Linked DNA regions of Arabidopsis thaliana. The protein of the gene in region 3 purifies or fractionates together with the protein of the main gene of each other region. This does not show direct contact. Each region holds a gene or a part of one and is shown on either strand. Other genes may lie near its edges.

Region 1 (7,037 bases), about 19 Mb from region 3:
GATGGAGGTGAAAGAGATAGGGAGATCGAGCAAAATCATTTTACCAGCGTGTATGCATGAGACTTGCTCCGGTGGTTTCTCACTGAAAAATGATTGTTGGTGCTGCTTGCGACTTAAAACTAAACAAGCTCGTTGTTGGAAAGAAAAAGAATTTCCCAACGCTAAGGAGCTTTGTTTCGCCAATTGTCCCCCTCTTGAATAATTTTTATGGATTCTGTCATTTCGAAGCAGATTTTTTTAAAAAACGTTGATAAATCTAAATATGTATGTTGCATATTCGATTTAAGGTTTTTTATGACATTTATTTCGATTTTAGTGGATTCCTTTACATTAATGTTACGATATTCTTATTTTCTATAATTTAAATTCACTGAATATCAACCAATTACATTTCTAAATAAAAATATATATTTTATAGGTGTTAGATAATCCAATTACAGTTGCCACCAAAAAATATGGAATTTAAAACTAAATTACAAGTATATGATATTTAATTTGGATGGGGTTTGTTAGGAAAAGATAAAATAATTTGCATAGTTTTAGTTTTTGAGTCAACCAAATGGATCAATAGATTAATTGAGAAAAAGAAAAGAAAAAAGAAATCAATCATAATGTTTTCGAATTTTTTGGAAAGCTTATACGATGGAATCGGAGACGATGACGCCGCCGACGACGACGAAGACAACAACAACGACGAGAAAACCCCGAAAGCCTCAACGGAAAGACACGATTTCTCGAGAAACGCCGTTCGTTTGTCACCGGAAGAGGAGGCTCAAGCGCGTGGGGTTAAAGATGATTTGACGGAACTTGGTCATACCCTCACGCGTCAATTTCGTGGTGTGGCTAACTTTCTCGCTCCGTTACCTGATGGATCTTCTTCTTCTTCCTCCGATCTATCGAACCATCCCAGGTTTAACCAATCTCGGTCTTCAGATCCTGGATTGAATCAATCGCGTTCTTCAGATCGGGACGAATCGTGTGTTGGAAGTGATACGCCGGAGACTGGAATTAGGTTTAGGAGCTGGGATTTAGAAGAAAAATTGGCAGAAGGCAATGATCCGGAGGATGAGGAAGAAGAAGAAGAGGAAACAGATGAAGAAGAAGAAGAAGAAGAAGAGATCGCTGCGGTTGCTCTTACAGACGAAGTGCTAGCATTTGCGAGGAACATAGCAATGCATCCAGAAACTTGGTTGGATTTTCCTCTTGATCCTGACGAAGATCTTGATGGTAACGTATACATTGAGTCAAGTCTTTCGCTATTAGTCTTCATTGATTTGACTTATAGGCATATCAAAAGTTTGATTATTTCAACTTTTATCTAATGTAGATTTGGAAATGAGTGATGCTCAAAGAGGTCATGCTTTAGCTATTGAGCGTCTTGCTCCGAGGTTAGCTGCATTGAGAATAGAGCTTTGTCCATGTCATATGAGTGTTGGTTACTTCTGGAAAGTCTATTTTGTTCTTCTTCTTTCAAGGCTCAATAAACACGATGCTCATCTTTTGTCTTCTCCACAGGTTAAAAAAACCTGAATCTCAATCTCTTCTTGAGTCAAAATGATTCTTTGTTGTTGCTGTTGTTTATTCAACAAAATCCTTTTGCTTTTGCAGGTGATGGAAGCTAGAGCATTGTGGATGAAAGAGCTTCAGAATCAGACACATTCTTCAAAAGAAAGTAGAGATATGATTCTTGAGGAAGAAGATATTACACCATCAACTTCTAATTACTACAACCATGCTCCTCCTGAGTTTCTTTCTCCAAGAATATATGCTTTTGAACCTCCTTCGATTATGTATCGCGATTTTGAACACGGGTTTGAAAACGCTCAGTTCATCGATAAAGCTGTTATTGAGGAAAAACCAATCCAGAAGAACGACAAAAATAGTGCAAGCCTTAGCCAAACATCTAAAGATGTTGTTGATGATGATGATGATGATTGGCCAGAAGAAGAAGATTCTGCTAATTCTTGGGCTCCAATGTTTACAGTGAATGAGGATGATGTTTCTTTCAGTGATCTTGAAGGAGACGACGATATAAGTAGCTTAGCACTCAAGTCTAAGATTACATCAAAGGGCACAGACCAAAAAGGAACATGAAACATCATCTGGCTTGTTGCTTTGCCCTGCCTCACGAGATCGAATCAATAGAATTGAACATAAGTACTGTGTGCTGAGTCAAATCGTGGAAGTCTTTTGGGTGAGTTTGATTGTTTTGTGGATTTATGATGTTTGCTCTCAAAGAGAAGGAAGAAAGAAAGAAAAAGGTTTTGATTGAAACATGTACAGAAGATTTACTTTGACACTGCAATTTCATTGTAATGTTCTCTCTCGCCAAATGTAATGAAATATTGAAAAGCACTATTTCATTCGCGTGGAACTTAAAAGAAATTGATAGAGAATGGCGCAAGTGAATTCAAGTGTAACAAACTGTTAGAATCATTATTGGATTGGAAAATCATATGGGATTTTATTGCTTATGTTGAGGATTTGTATGTATGAAAATGGGAACAACCAGGAGGAGCTATCATCAATTAACAAAATAACTCCTATGACTTAACTAAAAAACAAATCTATGTTGAAATGTATAACATTTGTCAAAATGCTAGTACTTTGTTAATAATTAAGGGGTGTTATTGGTTTGTGATTTATATAGAGTTTTAGTGATTTAAAAATATTATATAGAATCTGATGTTATTCAATTCAAATTTTCATTTTTTTTTTTTAATTTGGTATTATTAGTTTAAGATTTATAAAAATTAATCTAAAATCTTCGTAAGTAAGATTGCTTCCCTAATACAGAGAAAGAAAGAAAAACCAAGTAAGATTGGTAATACGATGTCGTTTCGCAGAATAATGCAAAGCTGAACCCAATTTAATAAGCTGCACTTTTCTTTCTTTCTCGAGTCTCCCGTCGTTTTTTATGTCAGAACCAATTCGTCAGGTCGTGAATAAGTGACTTTATCGACGAACCACCACTCAGCTGCAGCAAATGATCGTTTAGCTCCGGCGAAGCGTAAAATTCTTCAGATCTCTCTGGAATTAATAATCCGTCTGTTTGATCGATCTGATTCGGCAAATCCTTGAGAAAACAAGGAGGGAAGAAGAAGAAGAACATGGCAGGGGCGGCCTCAGCGCTGTTTCTGCTCGATATCAAAGGTCGTGTTCTCGTGTGGCGCGATTACCGTGGCGATGTCACCGCTGCTCAAGCTGAGCGTTTCTTCACCAAACTCATCGAGACAGAGGTGAAGTTTTAACATTTGGAACTAATGAACAAGCTTGATCAGTGCTTAAAAGGATTCAATTTGATCAGAATCGTTATACTTATGACTAAATGACTAGTGTTTTCTCTGCGGGTTTGCTTACTTTCGTCTAATATGTTCAGGGTGATTCACAGTCAAATGATCCGGTTGCTTATGATAATGGCGTGACCTACATGTTTGTACAGCATAGTAACATTTACCTCATGATAGCGTCCAGACAGAACTGTAATGCTGCCAGTCTTCTCTTCTTCTTGCATCGTGTAGTCGATGTAAGCATCCCTAGTGATTCAGTTTTTTGCATTTCCATCTGTTTTCTGAATTTGAAGAAAAAAGAACGGCACTGTTTCATATGTTACAGTCTTATACTGATCGTAGGTCTTCAAGCATTACTTCGAGGAGTTAGAGGAAGAATCTTTGAGAGATAACTTTGTGGTAGTGGTAAGATAATGCTTCTCACATCTCTTCTTATAACTGTTTTCCCTCTTGCATGAGGTGGATATGTGTGGGCGAAAGTTATTTCTAAAAACATTTACTTATGTTACTGGCAGTATGAGTTACTTGACGAGATGATGGACTTTGGTTACCCTCAGTTTACTGAGGCAAGAATCCTTAGTGAATTCATCAAGACTGATGCATATAGAATGGAAGTTACACAGAGACCTCCAATGGCTGTCACTAATTCTGTCTCATGGAGGAGTGAGGGGTTAAAGTTTAAGAAAAACGAAGTAGGTGCTCAACATTTTACTTTTCAATTGTTTTAGGTTTTCTAATGTTTGCAGACTGATGTTTTGTTTTCCAGGTTTTCTTGGATGTGATAGAGAGTGTAAATATCCTTGTGAACAGTAATGGGCAAATTGTCAGGTCTGATGTCGTTGGAGCTTTGAAGATGCGAACATACTTGAGGTGCGTTCTCTAGTGTCCCTAGTTAACCAACGCATTTAAAATCAAAAGTCCCTCCTCTTTGACTCTCTGCTTCTTTATCCATGTTATTACAGTGGAATGCCAGAGTGTAAGCTAGGCTTGAATGACAGAATATTGTTGGAGGCACAGGGACGAGCAATAAAAGGAAAAGCCATTGATTTGGAGGACATCAAATTTCATCAGTACGTTAATCTCTTGCAACTTTAAACATTCTTTGACAGTCACTCTATCGAGGCCAATTTTTTTACTAACTCGAAAAATTATTGAATACTTGAGTTTTTACACGTCTCTTTCTTCAAAATGTAGGTGTGTTCGATTAGCCCGTTTTGAGAACGACAGGACAATATCATTCATACCACCTGATGGATCTTTTGATCTTATGACGTATAGACTCAGTACTCAGGTTTTAGAATGTGTAATATTGCAGAAATGGTTTTGTCCCCTTCTTAAACGAATTATATCATGATATATCTTATTTTCGCATAATACTTGTTCAGGTAAAGCCTCTTATATGGGTGGAAGCGCATATAGAGAGGCATTCCAGAAGTCGTGTTGAGATGCTAGTAAAAGCTAGAAGCCAATTCAAGGACAGAAGGTAAGTAACAAATGTTACTTAACACGTTTAACCATTACCTGAAATACTGAAATACTGGAATCCTTTAACGCGTTTTGATAAGAGTTCCTTTTTTCTGCAGCTATGCAACAAGTGTTGAGATTGAGTTACCTGTACCAACTGATGCGTATAACCCCGATGTAAGAACATCTCTCGGGTCGGCCGCATATGCTCCTGAGAAAGATGCACTGGTCTGGAAGATACAATATTTCTATGGGAACAAGGTAAGTTCTTATAGTTTAATGTAACACTTGACCATGTAAAGTCGAATGCTTACATTAAGTTTTGAAACAATGTAGGAGCATACATTGAAAGCAGATTTCCATCTTCCAAGTATAGCCGCAGAGGAAGCAACGCCTGAGCGAAAAGCTCCAATCCGTGTCAAATTTGAGATCCCAAAATTCATAGTTTCAGGAATACAGGTTGGTATTACTCACAATGATACGTTATTATCATATAGATCACATTCTTTTTATATTACTGCATTGAAATCTGAAGGCAAACAAACCTGATGTGTGTTAATTATGGGTATTGCAGGTTCGATACCTGAAGATCATTGAGAAGAGTGGGTACCAGGCACATCCATGGGTGAGATATATAACCATGGCTGGTGAGTACGAACTGAGACTCATGTAAAATGAGATCGTTTTTTTGTTTTTACTATTATTTAAGCCATTGTCAACGACACAAAGCAGAGGAAGATCAATGAGAAAAGGAAAAAGATTGAAATATATTAGCTGATAGAATTTGCGGTGAAGGTTGTTTTAGAAGCCATTTTCTTGTGAATTGTTTCATGGCGTTCTCTTTTTTTTTTTTTTTTTTCTGTAAAACTATATACGACAGTTATATATATATTGGGTTACAATTGTTAAACATCGAGTTTTATTTGGGGTTCTTTCAGTTCGTTTACCGATGGAAAATGCATGCAGTCTGGGTGACTACACCAATAATGGTTTTCCTTAAACGTCCGCTAATTTTGTAAGAGTTCACTATATAAATAACTTTGATGAGGCAGTAGAGCAACATGACGAACTAACAAATATTATAATTTTCAAAATGGAAGATATATATTTTACAGTACAACAAATCGAGAGGAGAACAAGAAGAACAATGAATAATCTGTATTAGTAGTAAATAGCCTAAACAAAAACTTAAGCCCTCAACGTAACAACCCTAAAACATTTTTTTTTTGCATGTGATCAATGTACAAAGTTGTTTATTCTGGGTGATGATGATGAACGAGGAGAAGAAGGAGATTGATTGGGGAGAGTCTGAGGAATCTTTCTAAAAACATGTTTCCTGCAACGTTGGAAGATGCTGTCGTATATCAGATCAAACTGAACACCAGCTCTCTCTCTGTTCACTATGAACATTATGTGATCTGCTTCCACTATCTTATAATACCTGCAACAACAAGGTATTCAGATTTTCTCAATCCATCAACGTCATTAGGTCATATATGATTCACTTACCAGATCCCGGGTTGTAATGTTTGACATTCCGAATCGCTCCTTATGAACCGGCTCGGATGCTCAACAGGTAGCCTCGGATGTGTCATTGATATTGTGTTCAATGCCCCGTCGTTCTCTTGCCAGTCCTCATCCCTTCATTCAAACATGTTTTCTTAGACCAATGCAGCAAGGGCTTCAAAAATCAATGTTAAATTTTTGAGTGTTTTTGAGTACCTGTAGCCTTTATAAGGAGGAGAGACATCTTGTGGGAATTTCCATTGGCTCATCTGAAAGACGCGGAGGAAGAGCATCGGGTGGATTCCAAGAACACCTGAAGGGATTGTCATACCCATGACTCTGCGGGTGCGTTTAGTCGCGTAGCTGAAGTAGTAAGTGTTTGGGAACGTCTGGAGATTGGAGTTAATACTTGTTGAGCCTTGGATTGTGAGATCAGGTAAGATCCAATCGCCAGAAGCAAAAGGACCTGCGTTTCCCATTAGGCAATCAACGAGACCTCTCACACCGGTCTTCTTCCAAGAAATGTTGAAGTGATCGAACCCGAAATTGTAATAAGTCTTTAGCCATGAAATGTCCAACCAATCGTACATTATCACGCCTATACGACACAGCTGCAACAAACATATCGGTTTCATGCTCACTCCATCATCTGTCCTGTAACAGCAACAATAAGAATCAACAATTAGGATAAAAGATCTTGGTTTTCTAATACAGGAACATACAATTGCTTCAAAGATCAAACCTTATTTCAAAATGAAGAAACAGGAACATTCCAAT
Region 2 (5,758 bases), on a different chromosome or scaffold from region 3:
TAGACTCATGGTAAGAGCAAATGCTAGTATTTTAAAACTTCCGATCTTAATTTTGTAAAAATACTAAAATGTAATAGTTTGAACTTAAAAATAAATAAAAAGAGGACAATCGTTATGTTATTTACCGACAAAAAACACTAACAGATAGTTTGGTCGGTTATAGTTCTTGAAATCAAACAGCGTAACTTGACTTTGGAATAACAATTTACATTCGCTTTGTTTTCTTTTTTTGCTTTAAGATTAGAAAACAAAACAAATCTACAATCATCATATCACCATCACAAAACCATCCCTTCACCGTCACAAAAGGCCTCTCCTTTAACTTCTCTATCTCCGTGATTTACTTCTCCAGAATCCTTCTTTTGTCTCCCGCAGAATCCATCAGTCCCTTCTTAGGTCGTCAACATCTTAATTTAGTTTTTTTGCTTCACTCGAGGAAAAGTCACTACACCAACCCAACATATTATTATATGGATACACAAATATATTTGTATTATTTATATTTATATGTACCTTATTATAGTTTAGAAGAGAGCTGTGTTTTGTGATGCTCTTGCTTTACTTCTTTCTCTCCTTTGTTTCATTCCATTTCACATGAAGATCTAGATCTGGGTCCAGACAAATTTCACCGACCCAGCTCTTTCACATATGTAGACCTCTCTCTCTCTAATTATTCAGTAAGGTTTTGTTCTCTCTTGTCGTCTTCTTGTTTTGTCCGTAGCATTATTAATAATCAAACTCAGTCTCTGAAATACTCTCAGTGACAAACCACTTCTGTCGACTTTTGTCTTTGTCTCTCACTAGCTATAACCAAAAAAATCCAAAAACCCAAACCACAGTTTCTTGTTTTTGTTATCAATGTCTAGTTATATGCACCCTCTTCTAGGGCAAGAACTGCATCTACAGAGACCTGAAGATTCCAGAACCCCACCTGATCAAAATAACATGGAACTTAACAGATCTGAAGCAGACGAAGCAAAGGCCGAGACCACTCCCACCGGTGGAGCCACCAGCTCAGCCACAGCCTCTGGCTCTTCCTCCGGACGTCGTCCACGTGGTCGTCCTGCAGGTTCCAAAAACAAACCCAAACCTCCGACGATTATAACTAGAGATAGTCCTAACGTCCTTAGATCACACGTTCTTGAAGTCACCTCCGGTTCGGACATATCCGAGGCAGTCTCCACCTACGCCACTCGTCGCGGCTGCGGCGTTTGCATTATAAGCGGCACGGGTGCGGTCACTAACGTCACGATACGGCAACCTGCGGCTCCGGCTGGTGGAGGTGTGATTACCCTGCATGGTCGGTTTGACATTTTGTCTTTGACCGGTACTGCGCTTCCACCGCCTGCACCACCGGGAGCAGGAGGTTTGACGGTGTATCTAGCCGGAGGTCAAGGACAAGTTGTAGGAGGGAATGTGGCTGGTTCGTTAATTGCTTCGGGACCGGTAGTGTTGATGGCTGCTTCTTTTGCAAACGCAGTTTATGATAGGTTACCGATTGAAGAGGAAGAAACCCCACCGCCGAGAACCACCGGGGTGCAGCAGCAGCAGCCGGAGGCGTCTCAGTCGTCGGAGGTTACGGGGAGTGGGGCCCAGGCGTGTGAGTCAAACCTCCAAGGTGGAAATGGTGGAGGAGGTGTTGCTTTCTACAATCTTGGAATGAATATGAACAATTTTCAATTCTCCGGGGGAGATATTTACGGTATGAGCGGCGGTAGCGGAGGAGGTGGTGGCGGTGCGACTAGACCCGCGTTTTAGAGTTTTAGCGTTTTGGTGACACCTTTTGTTGCGTTTGCGTGTTTGACCTCAAACTACTAGGCTACTAGCTATAGCGGTTGCGAAATGCGAATATTAGGTTTTATTTATTTATTTTTTGTTTCTCTTAAAACTTGGTGTGTGAAAAAAGAAAACGAACGCTTAAATTTCCTTTTTCTGTTTGTTTTTATGAATAGAATTGGTAAGTTTCATAAAAAAAAAATAGTATTAATTTGTGATTTAATATCTAAACTTACAGAAAAATGTCAAATCGACCATATTAATCGTGAAAAATGTTATTATTAGGGAAAAATGTTATTTAATACCTAAACTTACAAAAAATGGCCAAATTAACCGTGAACTCGTGAAATGGCCGTTTTATCTCTCAACAAAAAGTTGACTTCTATTTTAACTTTTAAGTTTGCGTTGACTCGGGCTAATAAACCACCGTTAAAAATTCTTCTAACAGCGTAATTAACAGCCGTTACAGAACATCCGTTAAGGTGATACGATGACGTTTTGTGCTAAAGAGAAATCAAAATCGAGAATAGAAATTCCCAAAACAAAATCAATTACCCTAAACCCAAATCGAAACCTAATCCTGCCCCCAAAATCAAAATCGAAACCCTAATTGCTTCAATTCGTTTTCTGAAATGCCATTAGTTAGAAAGAATGGCGTCGTTATGAGGATTGGATCTCCAATGCTTCACGAATCAGAGAATTTGGTGGGAGATGGAGTCGAAGCACCACCGCGAGGAGAAAGAGATGAAATTGGAGAAGAAGTTGGGGGTGAAACGAATGTGGTATCTGAGTCTTGTGGCGGAGAAGAGGGAGCACAAGATGCAGCTAAAACAACGCCGGAAGGAGAAGCAGATCGAATTTGAGAGAGAATGATTTTTAGGATTTGGGTTTTGATTTGGAGATTTTTCAGAGGTTTCGTCGACTTTGAAGTCTGTTGATAGCACAAAACGTCATCGTATCACCTTAACGGATGTTCTGTAACGGCTGTTAATTACGCTGTTAGAAGGATTTTTAACGGTGGTTTATTAAACCGAGTCAACGCAAACTTAAAGGTTAAAATAGAAGTCAACTTTTTGTTGAGAGATAAAACGGCCATTTCACGAATTCACGGTTAATTTGGCCATTTTTTGTAAGTTCAGGTATTAAATAACATTTCCCCCCTAATTATTAGGTGAGTAATACGGAGAAAATGGACTTTAATTATATTCGTAAATTGATGTTCACACATTAAGGCTCTAACTAAATCTTCCGATTATTGTCATATAAACATGTTCTAATTTGTGATAAAACTGAACTTCCACTGTCTCGCAGAGAAGGGAAAGAATATTTTGGGAGAACAACTAAAACCCTAATATCTATGATGATGTCAACTTCAAAACACATTGAAACTTGAGAAAAACAAAAATCAAAGAAAATAAAAATAAAGCCTGCATGCAAGAGAATATGCCTTCCCTCCAAGGTTAAATAAAAACAAGCTTATGTGAGAGATTAAGTATGTTCATAACTTCACAATTGTGTCCATTAGTCGCTGCTCACGTTAGTCAGGAGTTATTTCTGTTGGGTCTTATCAAAACTGTTGTTTATGTCTATTTTGATTATGGACTTACCTTTACATTTGCATTTTATATTTTCATTCTTAGTTATAAAAAAATTGCTTATACTTTTCTGTTGTTTGACCCAGCACCAAGTATAAGAACAATTAAAAAATTTGATACCTAAGAAACTAATTCTATAAGATTAATTGAAGAATTATTTTCATTCAAAATCTTTTGACATAATTGCTACGTTTAATGTGTAATGCCCTGGTCTATTCGATAAGATTAAGAAGATAATTGCAATAATGGAACAAAATTAGCTGAGAATGCAATCCGTTTGCATGGATCCGACCCGGAATGCAATCCGTTTTTAATTATGTAAATGACAATTATACCCCTGGCACTCGACATGTTTGACAGTTTGAGCAAAGAGAATTTTTTTCTTGTTGAGGATCATCGATTATCAGTTTCTGGATTTCGCTACTACAGATTTGTCCCGTCTTGAGTTACGAAATCATGGTAACAATGCTCGATCTTCGATTCTGTGTTTACGAATGCTGCCCTGGATTTGAATTTCGCATCTCCGATTCGTTCTTATGCTTCTTCTTCATTAGTTTGATACTTGGATCTGCTCTTGATCGGTGGTTTCAGATATTTCTCTTCAAATTATTCTTTGCAGATAGAAAATTTGGTGACTTTAGTTTGATAATGCTAGCTTCTGGGTTTGATTTTTCGTAGTTTCGATCCTCCTAGTTCAGTTCAATGGCTTCAAATTTGAAACCTTTGTTTGTTGGACTCTTTCTTAAGCTGGTGAGTTGATGATCCTAATAAGAAACCAATGGTGTGTTTTTGATTTGTGTGTTTTCAGATACATTTTGTGCTTCTAGTTAGCCGGCAAGGAAAGGTAAGGCTCACCAAATGGTATTCTCCTTATGCACAGAAGGAAAGATCTAAGGTATGTATTGAGCTTCATTCACACCTTGTTATGCTTTAGCATACATCTCTCATCTTACATGCTATGTATATAGGTTATACGTGAACTCAGTGGAGTGATTCTGAATCGAGGTCCAAAGCTCTGCAATTTTGTTGAATGGAGAGGATACAAAGTTGTTTACAAAAGATATGCAAGTCTCTACTTCTGCATGTGCATTGATCAGGAGGATAACGAGTTAGAGGTCCTTGAGATCATTCATCACTATGTTGAGATTCTCGATCGCTATTTTGGAAGTGTGAGTACCAAAAAAACCAGCACCTGCTGAGATTCCACCTTTACTATCTCTTACCTTAACGGAACCTCTAAATTATGATAAGGAATTGTTTTATCTGATGACCTTCAGGTGTGTGAACTCGATTTGATTTTTAACTTCCACAAGGTAATAGCATGCTGCAAACACTCAAGGACTCTGCCATTCGTCACTTGATTCTCTATCCTCTGCATCTTTATATCTTGCTGACAGTTTCTGGATTTCTTGTTGCTTTCTTAGGCATATTACATATTGGATGAGCTCTTGATTGCTGGGGAGCTTCAAGAGTCAAGCAAGAAAACAGTAGCCAGGATTATATCCGCTCAGGTACTGAGTTGTATGTTTAAGTCATCGACATGAAAATATTAGTGTAGTAGTTTTTTCTTGAGAAATGACAGTCTCTGTCTGTTATGTTGTCAAAGGATCAACTGGTGGAGGTTGCAAAAGAGGAGGCCAGTTCGATAAGTAATATAATCGCTCAGGCTACTAATCGATAAGTAGTCTTATTCATCATCTATGCATTCTTATGCAGTTAAAGTATGTTCCCTGTCTCTGGCTACAGTAATTGTTTTGAGAAATCTTTATCCATTTGATTTTTCTTGCGGAGGGATTTTCGTCTTAAAGCGTAACTTGGAGAGAAGAAATATGTTATGATTTGGTTCATAAACAAGTAAAGATTATATCGTTTGTAATCTTTGATTTCATGTTTTCCAATCCCATTCTTTCATTGTGAATCCACATGACTACTATTTCAGACCAATCTTATTTGCACATATTCTCTAGTCCAAGAGTTATGGAAGAACAGTAGATAAATAGCCTTGCTCGACTAATGAGGCAATGCAGTCATCGAACATCTCTTCAAGGGACTTGAACTTGAGCCCGAGACTCTGTATCTTCGAGGTGTCAAAGTCGTAATGCAACCTATTTAGTTTCTCAAACCTGAAATTTTCAAACAGAGTATCATCATGATCTATGATTTTAAAATTTTACAAGGTTTGAGAGATGGTTTAGTTTAAAGGGTCAGTGTCAAACCTCTTGGGGATAGGGAGTGATGGGTAACGAGCAGATAGGAATGAAACGAGTTCCTCTAGACTGATAACGTTAGAGCTACAAATGTATCTGCCTTGAGCTGCTTCGTGTTCGAAAACGACTATGTGGGTTCGTGCAACGTCATCGATATGAACATACCCCATTTGTCCATGC
Region 3 (9,510 bases):
CCAAAAGGTATACTCGCTTCATAATACACTTCCCCGTTGATACATATACTTTGTATTAGTCCCTCGGCGGATAGAGGGACATGTTTAGGGGTATTTTGTGTCACTCTCCATGATTCTTGAGGTCCCAAAGTAAAAACAAGAGGATCTTGGTATCTAGAGCATGAGATGCACAAGACTTTATACTTACCCTCGACCGGATCATATCCTAAAGAGCTACATTCAAATGCGACTTTTGGTAAGGTAACATGTTGTCTCATGATTGGATTCCAAACTACAATATGCCCCAAGAATCTCCCAAACATATCAAGCCATGGACCGACTGGGACCATTCGTGATAATCAAATATGAGAGTGTCTTTCAGATAACGCTCCACATGTGGATAACATGATCTGTCCGGATTTTCATGTTGGGGCATTGCGCAGAAAATACGCTTGTCACTTGTTTTCACGCAGACCAAAAGACACAACCTAGTTGAAGACTGACTCGCGAACGACCTGATGAAATCTGGATGAGTGGTGATTGATGACCATAGCTAAGAGACCCAGTGGAACCTCGCAGCAGATTTAGCAGGAAGTCTCAAGAGTATATCAGGAATTAGATCAAGAGGAATCATCTCGAGAAACTTACAAAAACTCTCATCTTCTTTAGATTGTATACTTACTTCCCTATCTTCCGCCTCTTCCTCTACTCTATCCATTGGCGTCGATCCACTAGTTTTTTTTTTTAACCCTAATTTTTCAACCCTAAGTTTTTCAAACCATTATAGTAGTTGTCATCTCTGGACAAAAGGAACAAGTCAATGCATCGATCACCGAAAAGGAAGCATCGTACAAAGAGAAGAAAACTGAAGATTAAGAACATCTCTTTCTCTTTAACTTGCATACATCATGTTCAAGAACTACATCTTAGCAAATCCAACGACCGAAGACGAATTGATCATGGACACTCTAGCTAGTGACCATTGTTTTAAAAACCATACTCAAAATGTATTAAAAAAACAAATAAAAGAATTTTACATTTGGTTGTATTTGACAAAACATATCAACACTTTAGATTCTTGCGGTAAGTCAGAATTCTTACCAGAAGAATCTAAAACTTTGGTTCACTGATTCATGAGAACTTTGATCCGAACAATATTTACCTAGAAAACTGATCTCACCCTCATCAATACTGATCTTGATGAAAGTGAATCTTACAAAAACAAAAAAATAATGATAGATTTGCACTTAATTACTGATAAGTAGACTAAAAGAAGAACGATGAAATTATAGCAAATCAGCAACATGACCATCACGGAACTAGTTAATACTAAAAAGCATCAAAGTTGGATTTCTAAGTGATCTAACAAACGCTTTTTTAAAGATTAAATTCGAGATGAAAATATGGATGAAAAAGAATTAAATTGCTAACATAAATTGACCAAAATCGTAAGCATTGATCATCACCCATATCTTCATCTCAAATGAATCCATATAATCAACACTCTAACGTAACCAGAAAACTTGTTATACTTATTTTTGGGTAAAAGATTATAAAATTTAGATTTCCAAGCAATCTACGAGCAAATTTTTAACGGATTAAATTTGAGATGGCCATATGGGTAACCAATATATAAATTGGTAACTTAAATTGACCAAAATCTTAAATATTAGTTACCCAAACAGCCATCTGAAATGAATCCATGCATATGATCAACTCTCTAATGTAACAAGACAAGTTTATCCACTCTAACGATAGATAGCTCCACAACGTCATCAACATAATTAACGAAAGATAGACGTCGATATCTATCTACTGTGAAACCAAACATGAGTATTATGAATCAAAAAGATCCATTAATGTTAATTCATACTCATGTTTGACTTCACAACAGAGAGATTTCGACATCTACCTTTATCCATCGGCGACTCACTTTTGTTTTTCTAAACCCTAATTTTCTGTCTGGGTCTCTCTGTCTTTGACGTATTTATAGTACAAAAAAAATTGTTGCCCAAGAAAAAAAAAAAAAAGAAAAACAAACCTTCTGAATCCGACAGAGGCTTTAATCTGTTACCGTTAAAGTGTTGTATGATTCCGTTAGAATCTGCAACTCCGTTAATATTTTTTCCGTTTTCTTTCAGGGAAGAGAAAAAAAAAACACAGACCTCTCTTTTCTCTCTTCATGTTTTCATCGATAGTGGAAGAGATCAAGTGAAAGAAAAACACTCAGATCTGGAAATTCAGCTTCTTAGATCTATGAATTTTCAAATTCGTTGATCCATTTTTCCGCTTCAATCGTCTCCGATCTGATTTCATCAGCTTCGTACCGCTCCGGTCATGAATCCATTCTCTTCCGGCACGCGTCTCAGGTTAGGAATCACTTTACTCCGATCTCCAACTAGTAATCTGCTTTTTCTCTATTGCGACTTTGCGATACTTCCATTTTCGTGCGTTTTCTAGTGTCTAAATCCATAATGTAGCTTGATTCTTCTAGTAATCGGCAAATTCAATCGGAAATTGACGATTATCAGAAAAATGTTTTGGCTGATTGTGTGAGATTAGGCATGTTGTATGATAGAATCCTCTTAGCATTTTTGATGAAGCTTCGATTCTTTATAAATTGAGAGTATGTAAATGTAAATGAATTCATCATTTTAATGACAATTTGTGTTGCAGCGACATGATTCGAGCTATACGTGCGAGTAAAACCGCTGCTGAGGAACGTGCTGTTGTGAGGAAAGAATGTGCTGCGATCCGTGCTTCGATTAATGAAAATGACCAGGACTATAGACATCGGGATCTAGCGAAGCTTATGTTCATTCATATGCTTGGTTACCCTACTCATTTTGGGCAAATGGAATGCTTGAAGTTAATTGCTTCTCCTGGATTTCCTGAGAAGAGGATTGGTTATCTTGGATTAATGTTGCTTCTTGATGAAAGGCAAGAAGTATTAATGCTTGTCACCAACTCGCTGAAGCAGTATCCTTTATGGTGTTAATTTTTGATTTTGATTCCCTAGTAGTGTTTTAACTTTTTGCTGGCATCTTCGCACAAATTTTTAAGTTCATCTTGTGAGAACCTTGACTTACGTCTAGAGATCTGAATCACACGAACCAGTACATTGTGGGGCTTGCTCTCTGTGCTTTAGGAAATATTTGTTCAGCAGAAATGGCTCGTGATCTCGCCCCTGAAGTTGAACGATTACTTCAGTTTCGTGATCCAAATATACGCAAGAAAGTGAGTGTTTTCTTGTACTGTCATTGTACCCGTTCAGATAACAGGTGTCTTTGTTGTGAGGGTCAGTGGTGGAAATGTTGGAAAACCTTAGATGCTAGGTTAACGTGCATGTATTAACCACGTGAAGGCTTTAATTTACGAGCTATGTATCATTTTCACGAATTTACACTTTACTTCTGTCATTTTTTTGTATGCATAGACTAATACATTATAGTGAACTAGTTTTTTTTTTCTTTATTTAGGCAGCTCTTTGCGCGATAAGGATCATCAGAAAAGTTCCGGATCTTTCTGAGAACTTTATTAATCCTGGTGCTGCTTTACTCAAAGAAAAGCATCATGGTGTTCTCATTACGGGAGTTCACCTTTGCACAGAAATCTGTAAAGTCAGTTCCGAAGCCCTTGAATATTTCCGGAAGGTAATCTGCTGATATCCTATCTATGTGGTTAAACGAATATTAGGATGCCTTATATGTTCTAGTTTGCGTTCTTCTTCTTTCTTGGAGAATCGGAAAGTACTCTACATTTGTTCATTAGGCTTCTCTTTGTAACTCATAGCCTCTTACTGTCTCATGGTTTCATGATTCTTGTCTGGAATCTGTATGATCCCTGCATTCTCCATTTTGTCTCTTTAGATTCATTATCTTCCTGGATAATATTTGCCTGTATTCTAAACTGATTTGAGTGTTTTCAATCTTTGATGTTCTTGCCATGATGGAAAATGAGCGGTTTCCTTATCTAATTGACAGAAATGCACAGAGGGCTTGGTTAAAACCCTGAGAGATATTGCAAACAGTCCATATTCACCTGAGTATGACGTCGCTGGAATTACGGATCCATTCCTTCACATCAGATTGCTCAAACTGTTGCGTGTTTTGGGCCAAGGGGATGCAGATGCCAGTGACTGTATGAATGATATACTTGCTCAGGTTTGTTCGTACGTAGTCTGTCGAGCTTTTTTTTCAAGCCTTTTTCTCTTTTCAAACAATGGTAAAAAATGAAGCCTTTTTCTCATCTTTATAGGTTTTGTTTCAAAGATCATTTGTGAAATTTGCTTTGAAAACGCTTTTGATCTACATCAGTCAGGATCGTAATTGCAGATAATCATTTTTGATTCCTAAGTTGATTTTTAATGTATTAGGTGGCATCAAAAACCGAGTCAAACAAAAATGCAGGGAATGCTATCCTATACGAATGCGTTCAAACGATAATGAGCATCGAAGAAAATGGTGGCCTACGAGTCCTTGCAATCAATATCTTAGGAAAATTCTTGTCCAACCGAGATAATAACATCAGGTTTTTATCGAGTACCACCATATTTGAGTTTTTTTTTGTAACTAATCTCTGAGATCTTATTATTCATCTACAATAATCTTCCAAATTTAGTTTGCTATAATGCTGACAGAAGTTGTTACACTCATATATGTCTAGTTTGCAGTGATTCTGTTTTTTTTTCTATTATTCCACTTGAAGGAGCAGCTGTTTATAAAGATAAAATAAACCAAAACTGACGTGTTTGGACAGTATTGTGTATGGATGGAACTATTGTATGAGATTTTGTGAAAAATTGATAGAACACTTCATCTGATCTCTTTCTTGTCTCTCCACTGACCACCTTCCAGAAAATAATAAACCTTAGCTTTGCTTTCTCAGATACGTAGCATTAAACATGCTGATGAGATCCTTAACTGTTGATTCCCAAGCGGTTCAAAGACACAGAGCTACAATCCTGGAGTGTGTTAAGGTATTTTATGTGGTGTTACTTCTTTGTTGGGATATCCTATTGATTTACTAGGCGATTTAGATTCCACTGGATTTACTGGTTATGGAATGCAATTTATGTATCAGAGCTGTAACATGCTTCCGACTTTGTGTCTTAGTATAGTAAACCATCTAATTCTGTGTAGGTCGACTGAGATCATTCTTTATTAAATGGAAAGTGTTTAATATCTTGTGCTTTAGGATTCAGATGCTTCAATTCAGAAAAGGGCACTTGAGCTTATTTACCTTCTAGTGAATGAGAATAACGTGAAGCCACTAGCAAAGGAGCTTATAGAATATTTGGAAGTAAGCGAACAAGATTTTAAAGGAGATCTTACTGCAAAGATATGCTCCATAGTTGAAAAGTAAGTTGCGCAACTCTTCAGCCAGCATGTACAGAGATTTCATTCTTCTAGTATATGGTAACTGAACATTTTAATTTGTATCAAAGTTGTGCGTTAAGCTCAATTAATAGTAATCCCTTAAGTTTATCAGAATGCTGGCCTGGATAAATGGTGTCCATCAGACCTAATTGGTTACTGAATTAGTATTTCCTTTCTGCTAGGTTTGCTCCAGAGAAAATCTGGTACATTGATCAAATGCTAAAGGTTCTATCTGAGGTATATTTTGAACCCAGGTTGTGAGATTACGTTTTTCCGTACACTTAACTAACAACAAACTTTTTACTTCATATGAATTTATGTAGGTTCTAATCTGAGAGTTCTAATCTTGATTATGTCCATAACAGGCTGGAACTTATGTGAAAGAGGATGTATGGCACGCGCTGATTGTTGTAATAACAAATGCCCCTGATCTCCATGGGTACACTGTCAGGGCTTTGTATAGAGCATTACATACATCTTTTGAACAGGTAGACATTTCTTTGGTTAGACATTTCCTAAATTTGAATATCTTGTAACTTAGGAGTAAGAGGGTCATTATCATGTTTGGGCAGGAAACTCTTGTGCGCGTTGCAATATGGTGCATAGGAGAATATGCTGATCTGTTGGTTAACAATGCTGGAATGCTTGACTTAGAAGATCCAATAACGGTAAGTACTATCATCCTGCACTCAGGGTTTATTGTTGTGACTGGTACTGGAGGTGCAATTTGGGGATCTCTTTCTTAATTTGCTTTTTTTGGTCTTGTAAAATATTTCTGCTTCACTGATTTATGTGGGGATCCTCACACCCTAGAAATGTTAACTCGTCATCTTGTGGATTTTCTGCGCTGGCTAGTTTTCTGTTTGATAAAAAATGAAGAAAATGGTATCAGTTGTTATTTTCTGTGTCTTAAGGGGATGTATTTTCCTTACTATTTGATTGCTCATTCAAATAGATTCATTAATGAACATTCTGCCTGCAACATTTTGAATGATCCTCTTTACATGCCAAAGGTATATTTTTCAATGAGATATTAGGAGGATAGATATTTATTTGTGTTCTCAAGCTTCTGTAATCAGGTAACAGAATCAGATGCAGTGGATGTTGTCGAGAATGCTATTAAGCATCATTTATCAGATGTCACAACTAAGGCAATGGCACTCATTGCTCTGTTAAAGATCTCATCTCGTTTCCCATCCTGTTCAGAGTATGCCAACTCCTACCTAGCTAGTTGATTCTAGATTTTCTGGTTATAATCACGCATGAACTCATTTCACGTCCCTGATTTTTTCTTATTAATTATGCCGCGATGAAAATTAGTCAATGATACTTCTCACCAGTGTTGGGCTTGTTGTATTGCTTACAGGAGAGTTAAAAGTATTATAGGACAGAACAAAGGTAGCTTTGTCTTAGAACTTCAACAAAGATCCCTGGAGTTCAGTTCAGTTATTCAAAAGCATCAGAATATAAGGTAATTCTTTCGATGCTACTGGACATATCTGTTTTCATCAATTTGAATGAGAGAGTCCTATAGATATTGATCTACTAAATTACTCAACACGATTGATATAAATATGCAGATCTTCTCTGGTTGAAAGAATGCCGGTCCTTGATGAGGCAACATTTAGTGGAAGGAGAGCTGGTTCTTTACCAGCATCTGTGTCAACTTCTGGAAAATCTCCGCTTGGTATTCCAAACGGTGTTGCTAAAGCAGCAGCTCCTCTTGTTGATTTACTCGATCTGGGCTCTGATGATACTCCTGCGCCTACCTCCTCCAGTAACAACTTTCTTCAAGATCTTCTTGGTGTTGATTTATCGCAGCCTTCAGCACAACCTGGTTAGACTTCCAAGCTTACACTATTCCACTTCATTAGCTCAAAGAAAAAACTAACTTATTGAAGTTTTTCTTGTATTGCAACTGATAATATTAATTGTTAACCATCTGTATAGCACTATCTTCCTGGAATAGAAGTTAGATTATAATTCATATACGTTTTCTTCAGCCAGATAATTTTCTCTGGTCATGTCCTCAACTTATTGGCTTCAGCTGCAGTATGGCCTGTCCTAACTATAACCCGAAGAAAACTGTAAAAATTTTAGTGAAGATAAGTGTAGTGTTAAGTTTTGTAGAGAGTTTGGGATGTTCAGTTGTGAAGTTTCATCATATATTCTAAATCGTCGACCCCTTTGTTTACCCCTGCATTTTTCAATTTCAGGTGCCATGCAGCCATCGCAAGCTGGTGCGGATATTCTTATGGATCTGTTGTCAATCGGAACTCCTGCCCCTGTGCAAAATGGCTCGGCGAATGGAGACTTATTATCTATTCAAGATAACAATGCTCCAATAGCGCCTTCTTTGACTTCTCCCACTGCGCCTTCTTCGATGATGGATTTATTGGATGGATTTGGTCCCACCCCACCAAAGAGCGGTAAAGATGCGCTATATTAAACATTGAAAAGTTACATAGCACAGTTTCTCCCCTCTTTCTTCTTGTTTTCAAATGTGATGATATCATCTCTTTTCTTCCATGACAGAGGACAAGAGTGCAGCATATCCGTCCATTGTTGCATTTGAAAGCAGCTCCTTGAAGATTGAGTTCAACTTCACAAAGCAATCAGAAAATCCTCAAACGACAGACATTGTGGCCAATTTCATAAATCTTACTCCTAACGTGTACACAGAATTTCTTTTCCAGGCTGCAGTTCCAAAGGTCAGGTCCCAAATTTGCTTTTTCTGCTTACGTTATAGGCCTTATGATTCATAGCTAATAAGAACACAATCTTTCCTAAAGAACAATTCTGCCATGTGCTTGGTTCTTAACGTTCCACATTTTTATGGTCGTGATAGTGATAGATTCATGTTTTTTGCAAAGTTCTTATTAGTGGAAATACTTGGAACTGTTTTGGAGTAAATTGGGTTCGGTTTAGGTTTCCATGATATGTTTTGTTGACGATGTTCTAATATATTCATGTTATCACACACATTGCAGTTTCTACAACTTCACCTGGATCCCGCTAGCAGCAATTCTCTTCCAGCTAACGGAAACATCAAACAAACTATGAGAGTTACAAATAGCCAAAAGGGGAAGGTACATTTTCTTCTTTTTCTTTCTTCTCTTCACCAGATTTATATAACAACAAGCACAAAACCTCAATCTTTTGTGAAACCGATACCACAAAGCGCTCAGAATAATCGCTGTTCTTCTCTGTTTTCAGAAACCCATTGTGATGCGGATGAGGGTAGGTTACAAGATTAATGGCAAAGATGTGTTGGAGGAAGGACAAATCAACAATTTCCCACGTGGGTTATGAGAACGTTTCAGGTATTCCAAGATTCATATACATATTCCTAATTTATATAATCACTTCCCATAGACTAAAACAAACTTCTTCATAGAACCTTTGTATGTGTGATTCGTTGGCTTTGTGTGAAATCTGGGTTTAAAGTGAGATAACTTTTTGATGGTCTGAGTTACTTATGAGAATGTGTGACGTCAAATGTATTCTTCTTGCTGCTTCAAGTTCTTCTCTATCATTTATATCATTAATAAAACGTTTTTGTTTTTTCCATAGTAACATTTTGAGAAAACAATTTATTATTAGTTTAGAAAATAACTTATTTTGTCTTTTGTAATAACGAAGATTTTCATCAACTCCGAATTCAGTATAATAATTAGAAATTAGACGGACAATTTTTTTTAATTTTAAACAAAAATTGTGTATGACAAATTAGGCCTATCGATATTGTTTATGCACTATTCAAACCGTTCAAATTGTGTTTACATGCAGTCCAAAATGCTGAATTTTCATTTCTTGCCTAACCATGCTGCCTAAAGTTAGTAATCGTCATAGTGAGATGCAATACTTAGCCGCCTAGTATTTTCTTGAACAGTTATTAAAACATAAAACAATGTAATGCAACCATTTGATTAGTTTTCTGGTTAATAGTATGAACATATCCAACAAAATAACAGCAACTTCATTTTCAACACTTATTGAAGCTATATATAGCTAAACAAAACAAGATAAAAGAAGTCCTTGATACCTAAAATCTGTTGATTATATTTGTATCTATCATGATCTAAAGTTTAAAAGTCATGAGATGTAATTCATATGGAAACAGTGTAGTACCAGATCAGTTCTTTTGGAGTTT
Region 4 (7,656 bases), 220 kb from region 3:
GAGGCTAATCGGCTTCACCGTAGAATGTAAGGAGATTCCGGTGATGACGCATTTCTTCCCTTCGGTAGTTTCGCTAAATTTTCTGTCAAACTGGTGGTAAGTCTTGCCGGAAAATCCCATAAGTTATCGTATGAAGTTAAGAGAGAAACAAGAATTTTTTTTGATGTAAATGAAGGAAATGGAGAATGAAAGAGTAAAAGATTAGGTTGTTGTTAAAGTAAGACTTGTTTGGAACGAGAGAGAATGTGAAGAGAATGAAACATGTGATTCAGAGAAGGGGATTGGTCTTATAGTCAACAGTGACTTCAAGACAATCGATCGTTCGATGTCGATTCAGTTCAGTTATTTTTTCCACGAATTTTTTTTTTCGAAAATTCGTATCTTAGTATTTATTTCCTTGGTTACATTAAAAGAACGTAACGAAGAGATAGTGACATTGAGTGTACATTGTATCTTTTATTAAATGTGAGAGAATATCCTTTTTTGTTTCTTTTCTCAAGCATAAAGAATGTAATCATGGTATTTAAAGCATATGTTTAATGTGAAAGAAATACAGTATTATGTACCCTAAATGGAACAACTTATTTTGATATACGTTCTTAAGTTATTTTTTGATACATAATTTAGTGGTGATGCCAATAGTTTTTGTTTTAGTCATACAAACTGAAAGGTGCTATAGTTTTTAAAGGGTGGTGCAAAAGATATCGATCGTAGTCAACTAAAAAGTGCCCTAACTAATGATTACGATAATCCGTTTTATATTGGTCGAAGTTAGGTGATTAAAATATGGTTTCTCTACAAGTATTTTGTTTGGACACTGCAAATAAAACCTTCATGCACATAAATTCTGGAACCATCTTCATTTTTTTCATAATTAATCTCTATCATATATAGTAGTATAGACCCCGAAGTAACTTAAATACCAATTATGTATTATAAATACGGATTGATAACATTTCATATCGAAACATTTCATACATTTTATATCTGTAATGTTACAACCAGTCTAAAGCCAAGGATTCTAGAAACTAGAAACAAATTTTACTAAAATTAATTGAGGGAAAACTCAAGAATGTGTGTGTGATCATTGAAGAAATGAAGAATGTGTGTTAGAGTGAGTGAATATTCAAAAGACTCAAATAGGTTTTTAATGAACAATAGGGAACCCGAGGAAACGCGTGACTCTAAGATATATGAATTTATTTTGCACTTATTACTTTTGATTAATTTTTATATTCTAACCCTTTTTTATATACTATTTTTTTCAGTGCAAGTAATGAATGAAGTAACGAGATGAGAGTCTAGTTTCAAAGTTTTGAATCTTTTTGGTCAATGTCGTCTCTATTTGTTGACCATATTATACGTTTGACTTTAACCCCATTTTTCTTTAATCTCATTCTTCTTCTTTGCTTCAATGGTTGACGAATTCTTACCGTAGAAGTTGCATCTAAATATACCAAAGATTAATACTGCGAAAATATGATAAAGAAGATTTTTTTTTTTTGTACTCTCTAGAAATTTGTAAACGATATTATTAGTGTTTGATTAAAGACTCCAATTTTTAACATAATGTCTATATCCACATAATGAATTTGTGTCTCTACTATATGTAGTGTTCCCGTCATATATGCATTTTTGCGATAGTCAATCGGATCTTTGTATTGCGGTTAATTGATCTGGTCTTTCTTGAGCGTACAAAATAAATAGAATTGTACGTATTATTAGAGATGGTTACATTTGGTTTACATTATTAGTTAAAGTTAACCAATAATGTAAACCAATAAAGTTAACCAATAATGTAAACCAAATGTAACTATCTCTAATACGTATGTTGACTATGATGTACTTCAAGACAAGTTCATCATCACTTAACGTAACTAACACTATATTAGTTAAGTTCAAGACTTATTGCCCATGATTCATTTGTAAACTATGAAGTAACATATCTCTGATTTTTTCCTCTTATGTTTGATAAATTAGTCATTATAATTAGTGTCTTGCCAAAAAGTACACTTCTATCTTATTAGCATTCTACATTACAAACTATTAATTTCACTACGTATAGCGGTATAGGGAGAAGATCAATAAGGCGATCACAATATTAGTTAAGTTCCGAGTCTTGCATTACCATTGTCCTATGAATCACAGAACAAGAGGACGCATATATATATAGTATTTATAAAAGACTAAGATAGTCACAGAACAAGAGGACGCATATATAATTGACAAATACTCAAAACATGTGAAAAGATAAGGGCTATTACGTCTTCATTAAGATCCCATAATCTTTATGATGAGAACTTAAGAGCCAAACTAGCTATGTAACAAAATATCAAGTTTGAAAGTAATAAACTGCTTGAATAAGCTTCAAGTTCACTACATGGTTTAGAAAGGTTTAAAATCTATTACTTTCAAACGCTTTTATTGTGTACCAATCAATCCAACAAAGTATGCAATCGTACTAATCAATCCAACAAAGTATACACTCACACCGGTAACATCAAAAATTCAAAAATTCAAAATTTCATGTTACCAATCAATCCAACAAAATATACAATCCCTGAGACCGAGTTATAATTTGTTGGAATGATTGGTACCAGTGAAATTGTGTTGTCGTGTGAACATCAACACATAGGAGGTAATATACGTAAATATGCTAGCAATCAAGCTAAGTATACAAAACACTTCATGTTGCAGTGTTCTATTGAAATTTTATATATCGAACTAGAATACTATCATGGAGAATGATCAAATGTTGCATATCTTCATATCCACGAAAAATGAGTACACAAACATTCGATCATACCCCATGACAGTTTTCTAGTTTATACTTGATAGTCCTCACGATTTCATGGTGGTGACACTACACAAACCCTAGATTCCCCTAAAGTTTTTGTGAAAAACGCATATGTTCGATTTTAGGTTTTACTTCTATCCTTGATTCATTACAAACCTATTTTTATACTAATTCGTCGTTAACCTAATAATTTTAACCTACGAAACCCAACCTATATGGGCCTGACTTTATGTAATGATCCAATGGGCCTTTCTTCTTCAATGATGACTTTCTTCATTGACTCTCCTTCTACTTTCGATGGTATTAAATTTGACGGAAAAAGTAAAACGATACCGTCTGGGTGAAAGGCAGAGCTCTTTGCTTCTGAATATTATTATTTTCTTAAATTCTTCCGTTTTTTTTTTTAATCCAACCACAAGGATCGATAACGAAATCATCAGATCGCCAGAAAAAAAAAAAAAATTGCGAAATGGAGAATCTGAGCTGCAGATCTGCGTCAATCTCCATCTAGATGTTGTTGCTACTTCTTCCTCTATAGAACCATAATTTCATCAGATCTCGCTGATTAATCATCCCCATTTGGATCTGATCGAAACTCTTAGGGAAGAACATGGCAGGAGCTGCCTCCGCGCTGTTTCTGCTTGATATCAAGGGACGCGTTCTCGTCTGGCGTGATTATCGTGGCGATGTCTCCGCTGCTCAAGCCGAGCGATTCTTCACTAAGCTCATCGAGAAAGAGGTTGTTCTGATCTTCCTCTTATCGCTAATTGGTCTTTGTTTATTGCTTGGTTACTGTAGAATTTTCAGAGAAACATAGAGTTAGCGAACGAACTTGTAGATTTGTGTTTGAAAGATTCGTCAATTGGAATTGAAACATTTCGAAGATAATGGATTCGTGTCCATTTTCATCTGCACTGGAAATGAATTTTGAAGATAATGGATTCGTATCAGTCTTTGTGATCTGATGCCGCTGAAATTTTTTGGAAGTAATGAACAAGTTTGATCATTGGTTAAATGTTTTGGATTAGAATTTGATTTGAATCTGTACTTTTGAAGCATTCTGGTTTAAATCAGAGTAATCATCGTTTTGTTTAATTGTTCAGGGTGATTCACAGTCAAATGATCCAGTTGCTTACGATAATGGGGTGACTTATATGTTTGTACAACATAGTAATGTATACTTGATGATAGCATCCAGGCAGAATTGTAATGCTGCCAGTCTTCTCTTCTTTCTTCACCGCGTTGTCGATGTAAGTATGGCTGGTCAATTCTTTAGTTTTTCTCTTAAGGTTCCATCTTTTTCCTGGATATTTGATGTAATGGCAATGGTATCTGTTATCTGGTTATAGGTTTTCAAGCATTACTTCGAGGAGTTAGAAGAGGAATCATTGAGGGATAACTTTGTGGTAGTGGTATGTTAAGCTTCTGTCATCGCTCTTTTAGTACTATTTCGCAATATATTTTTCTATTACTTGGGCAATCAAAAAGATCCTTAAAATTTTGGAAAAGTATTTGTCATTGTTAGATGCTGAAATTGATTTTTTGGTGCTGGCAGTATGAGCTACTTGACGAGATGATGGACTTTGGTTACCCTCAGTATACCGAAGCAAGAATTCTCAGTGAATTCATCAAGACTGATGCATATAGAATGGAAGTTACACAGAGACCTCCAATGGCTGTGACGAATGCTGTCTCCTGGAGGAGTGAGGGAATACAGTACAAGAAGAATGAAGTGAGTGCCATTGTTTTCGCAAGATAGGAATATGTTTCTGATGTTTCGGTTTGCAAATAATGACAACCTGCTTCTTTTTCCAGGTTTTCTTGGATGTTATTGAGAATGTAAATATTCTTGTCAACAGTAATGGGCAAATTGTCAGGTCTGATGTTGTTGGAGCGCTGAAGATGCGAACTTACTTGACGTATGTCAACACATCAAATTTACGATATAGTTCCTAATCAGCCAAAGCATGTTAAATCACGTCCCTTTTTGACTATTTTGCTCTTTGATCCATTCTATTGCAGTGGAATGCCAGAGTGTAAGTTAGGACTGAATGATAGAGTATTGCTGGAAGCGCAGGGACGAGCAACTAAGGGAAAAGCCATTGATTTGGAGGACATCAAATTTCATCAGTACGTCTTTAAGTTTTTATTATATTGAAACTTGGAAAGTCTTCACTGATCTTAACCCTTCTATTTTCTTTTTGTTCAAAAAGATTATATACTTGAGTTTTATGTATTCTCTTCTTCAACAACCATTTATTTAATGCAGGTGTGTTCGATTGGCCCGTTTTGAAAACGATAGGACGATATCTTTCATACCACCTGATGGGGCTTTTGATCTGATGACATATAGACTCAGCACTCAGGTTTGACATGTGGGATATAGCATCTACTGGAATTGTTCCACGTCTTCAACAAGTAAATATCATGATTTGTTTCTTTTATGTTCAGGTAAAGCCACTTATATGGGTGGAAGCACAAATAGAAAGTCATTCAAGAAGTCGTGTTGAGATGCTCATAAAAGCTAGAAGTCAGTTCAAGGAACGAAGGTAAATATATTCTATGGTATTTGTGCCACTTTCCTTTTCTGTCTTACTGTCATGCAAAGATCCTGATTGATCAGATTCTTTAAACCTTTGATCACGAACATTCTTTTTGTAGCACCGCAACGAACGTTGAGATTGAGTTGCCTGTACCAACCGATGCATCTAACCCCACCGTTAGGACATCTCTAGGGTCTGCCTCTTATGCTCCTGAAAAAGATGCGTTAGTCTGGAAAATCAAATCTTTCCCGGGGAACAAGGTATAACACTAACAAGGTTCAATAAACTCTTAAATTCAGTTGAAACAGTCAGCAATGTAGACTATGTAGTATCAATGCTAACCTTCAGAAAACCAATATAGGAGTACATGTTAAGGGCAGAGTTCCATCTTCCAAGTATCACTGCAGAGGAAGCAACTCCTGAGCGAAAGGCTCCTATCCGTGTCAAATTTGAGATCCCTTATTTCACTGTTTCAGGGATTCAGGTAAGCTTGTGCTTAATAATAAATGGTTACTGTCTCTTCCACAATGTCATATATATAATATATATGTTCTTTGGTGTGTAGGTTCGGTACCTAAAGATTATTGAGAAGAGTGGGTACCAAGCACTTCCATGGGTGAGATACATAACCATGGCTGGTGAGTACGAACTAAGACTCGTGTAATGCACATTTAGTTTCATCGTCTATGTCAATTGTGATTCCCACATCCCTCAAGGAATTGCCTGAATCAAAGAAGCAAAACGAAACAGGACAAAAGTAGAGGGAAAAGAAAACGTTTTGAAACATTTTAGCTGATCAAATTTTCCTTTAATTTGTTTTAGAAGCCATATTCTTGTGAATTTGTCTTTATGGTGATTCTATTTTATTTTACATGAGGCTCTCTGTAACCTTTCACGACATGGTTCATTATTTTCCTTTAGACTGCTACATTTCTGTCTATGTGTTCGTTCTGCGATCAAAATTGTTAAACGTTGAGGTTTTGGTTTTGTTTTTTGGGGCATTCGTCTATGTTTACATAGGTTTCTCTCGAGTTATGATCAAAATGAAACTACATAAACAAATTATGCTTCAATAGAGTGAGGTGAGAGAGCCTTACAATAGAGAGAACGTATATTTTGGTGTTTCTCATATTGTTTAACTGATATAGTATGGGCCGAAATGAAATAATCGTCAGGCCCATTAAAAAGCCCATAATCACCATACTTTCTCCTCCAATTCTGTTTCGAGCTTGGGAAGTGACAGTGAATTAGGGTTTTACTCAAAAAACCTTCTCGTTGTCGTTGTTTACTGCTCCGACGAGAAAATGGCGATGCGACATTTGAGCCGATCGAGAGACGTTACAAAGAGATCGACAAAGAAGTACATCGAAGAACCTCTGTACAATCGCCTCTTCAAAGATGGTGGTACAGAGGTCAAAGTTCGACAGCAGCTTAATCAGTTCCTCAAAGGCACTAAACACGTCTTCAAATGGGAGGTCGGCGATACGATCAAGAAACTCCGAAATCGCGGCCTCTATTACCCAGCTCTCAAGGTTTCATAAATCCAAATTGCATTTTCGATTCTCTAGGATTAGCTTCACAATAAGCATTTGCTTCAAATCTGTTGAATACATATAGAAATGTAGATTCTTAAGTGGTATTTTGATGCTCATTATGAACAATTTAGTAATTGTTGAATAATTTTTTCACTGTGTGATGATTGTGTCTTTAGATTTCATATTGTGGAGTTGTTTTTTTGGTTTGTAGCTATCTGAAGTTATGGAAGAGAGAGGTATGAACAAGACAGTGAGTGATCAAGCAATCCATCTTGATCTTGTTGCTAAAGCTCGTGAAATTACTGCTGGGGAGAATTATTTTGTTGATCTTCCGGAAACATCTAAGACGGAACTCACGTATGGGTCTCTTTTGAACTGTTACTGCAAGGAGTTGTTGACAGAGAAAGCGGAAGGTTTGCTGAATAAGATGAAAGAGCTCAACATTACTCCTAGTTCCATGTCTTATAACAGCCTCATGACTCTTTACACCAAGACAGGTGAGACTGAGAAAGTTCCGGCGATGATTCAAGAATTGAAGGCGGAGAATGTGATGCCGGATTCGTACACTTATAATGTCTGGATGAGGGCTTTGGCTGCTACTAATGATATTTCTGGTGTTGAGAGAGTCATTGAAGAGATGAATAGAGATGGTAGAGTTGCTCCGGATTGGACTACGTATAGCAATATGGCATCGATATATGTTGATGCTGGACTGTCTCAGAAAGCTGAGAAGGCTCTTCAGGAACTGGAGATGAAAAACACGCAACGGGATTTTACGGCA

Evidence for each region.
Region 1: the proteins of AT1G60070 (region 3) and AT1G10730 fractionate together in Arabidopsis thaliana (co-fractionation; one large-scale study listed by BioGRID). This does not show direct contact.
Region 2: the proteins of AT1G60070 (region 3) and AT4G35410 fractionate together in Arabidopsis thaliana (co-fractionation; one large-scale study listed by BioGRID). This does not show direct contact.
Region 4: the proteins of AT1G60070 (region 3) and HAP13 fractionate together in Arabidopsis thaliana (co-fractionation; one large-scale study listed by BioGRID). This does not show direct contact.

The regions. Positions count from the first base shown.
Region 1 is NC_003070.9:3,562,353-3,569,389, forward strand, and holds AT1G10730 (Clathrin adaptor complexes medium subunit family protein), read left to right. Parts: upstream 1-2,904; 5' UTR 2,905-3,110; coding exon 3,111-3,239; intron 3,240-3,379; coding exon 3,380-3,526; intron 3,527-3,632; coding exon 3,633-3,695; intron 3,696-3,805; coding exon 3,806-3,982; intron 3,983-4,056; coding exon 4,057-4,160; intron 4,161-4,252; coding exon 4,253-4,360; intron 4,361-4,484; coding exon 4,485-4,581; intron 4,582-4,675; coding exon 4,676-4,773; intron 4,774-4,873; coding exon 4,874-5,015; intron 5,016-5,090; coding exon 5,091-5,213; intron 5,214-5,328; coding exon 5,329-5,427; 3' UTR 5,428-5,754; downstream 5,755-7,037. Other genes in the region: AT1G10717 (EMBRYO SURROUNDING FACTOR-like protein), read left to right, coding at 1-202; AT1G10720 (BSD domain-containing protein), read left to right, coding at 612-1,227, 1,328-1,515, 1,609-2,094; AT1G10740 (alpha/beta-Hydrolases superfamily protein), read right to left, coding at 5,991-6,195, 6,264-6,395, 6,477-6,914. UniProt on the Arabidopsis thaliana protein: Subunit of clathrin-associated adaptor protein complex 1 that plays a role in protein sorting at the trans-Golgi network and early endosomes (TGN/EE).
Region 2 is NC_003075.7:16,828,745-16,834,502, forward strand, and holds AT4G35410 (Clathrin adaptor complex small chain family protein), read left to right. Parts: upstream 1-3,594; 5' UTR 3,595-3,827; coding exon 3,828-3,830; intron 3,831-4,179; coding exon 4,180-4,266; intron 4,267-4,339; coding exon 4,340-4,540; coding exon of another isoform or gene 4,541-4,570; intron 4,571-4,648; coding exon 4,649-4,684; intron 4,685-4,795; coding exon 4,796-4,882; intron 4,883-4,977; coding exon 4,978-5,052; 3' UTR 5,053-5,258; downstream 5,259-5,758. Other genes in the region: AGF1 (AT-hook protein of GA feedback 1), read left to right, coding at 859-1,758; DRL1 (dihydroflavonol 4-reductase-like1), read right to left, coding at 5,347-5,494, 5,588-5,758. UniProt on the Arabidopsis thaliana protein: Subunit of clathrin-associated adaptor protein complex 1 that plays a role in protein sorting at the trans-Golgi network and early endosomes (TGN/EE).
Region 3 is NC_003070.9:22,142,103-22,151,612, reverse strand, and holds AT1G60070 (Adaptor protein complex AP-1, gamma subunit), read left to right. Parts: upstream 1-2,085; 5' UTR 2,086-2,316; coding exon 2,317-2,348; intron 2,349-2,655; coding exon 2,656-2,958; intron 2,959-3,074; coding exon 3,075-3,216; intron 3,217-3,458; coding exon 3,459-3,632; intron 3,633-3,962; coding exon 3,963-4,142; intron 4,143-4,354; coding exon 4,355-4,509; intron 4,510-4,866; coding exon 4,867-4,957; intron 4,958-5,175; coding exon 5,176-5,339; intron 5,340-5,539; coding exon 5,540-5,594; intron 5,595-5,722; coding exon 5,723-5,845; intron 5,846-5,929; coding exon 5,930-6,025; intron 6,026-6,436; coding exon 6,437-6,564; intron 6,565-6,723; coding exon 6,724-6,828; intron 6,829-6,937; coding exon 6,938-7,194; intron 7,195-7,573; coding exon 7,574-7,786; intron 7,787-7,892; coding exon 7,893-8,068; intron 8,069-8,149; coding exon 8,150-8,257; intron 8,258-8,347; coding exon 8,348-8,446; intron 8,447-8,573; coding exon 8,574-8,669; 3' UTR 8,670-9,009; and 1 more. UniProt on the Arabidopsis thaliana protein: Subunit of clathrin-associated adaptor protein complex 1 that plays a role in protein sorting at the trans-Golgi network and early endosomes (TGN/EE).
Region 4 is NC_003070.9:22,367,637-22,375,292, reverse strand, and holds HAP13 (Clathrin adaptor complexes medium subunit family protein), read left to right. Parts: upstream 1-3,069; 5' UTR 3,070-3,407; coding exon 3,408-3,536; intron 3,537-3,900; coding exon 3,901-4,047; intron 4,048-4,146; coding exon 4,147-4,209; intron 4,210-4,352; coding exon 4,353-4,529; intron 4,530-4,612; coding exon 4,613-4,716; intron 4,717-4,819; coding exon 4,820-4,927; intron 4,928-5,066; coding exon 5,067-5,163; intron 5,164-5,248; coding exon 5,249-5,346; intron 5,347-5,458; coding exon 5,459-5,600; intron 5,601-5,701; coding exon 5,702-5,824; intron 5,825-5,905; coding exon 5,906-6,004; 3' UTR 6,005-6,340; downstream 6,341-7,656. Other genes in the region: AT1G60783 (cyclin-dependent kinase inhibitor SMR2-like protein), read right to left, coding at 1-120; AT1G60770 (Tetratricopeptide repeat (TPR)-like superfamily protein), read left to right, coding at 6,645-6,872, 7,087-7,656. UniProt on the Arabidopsis thaliana protein: Subunit of clathrin-associated adaptor protein complex 1 that plays a role in protein sorting at the trans-Golgi network and early endosomes (TGN/EE).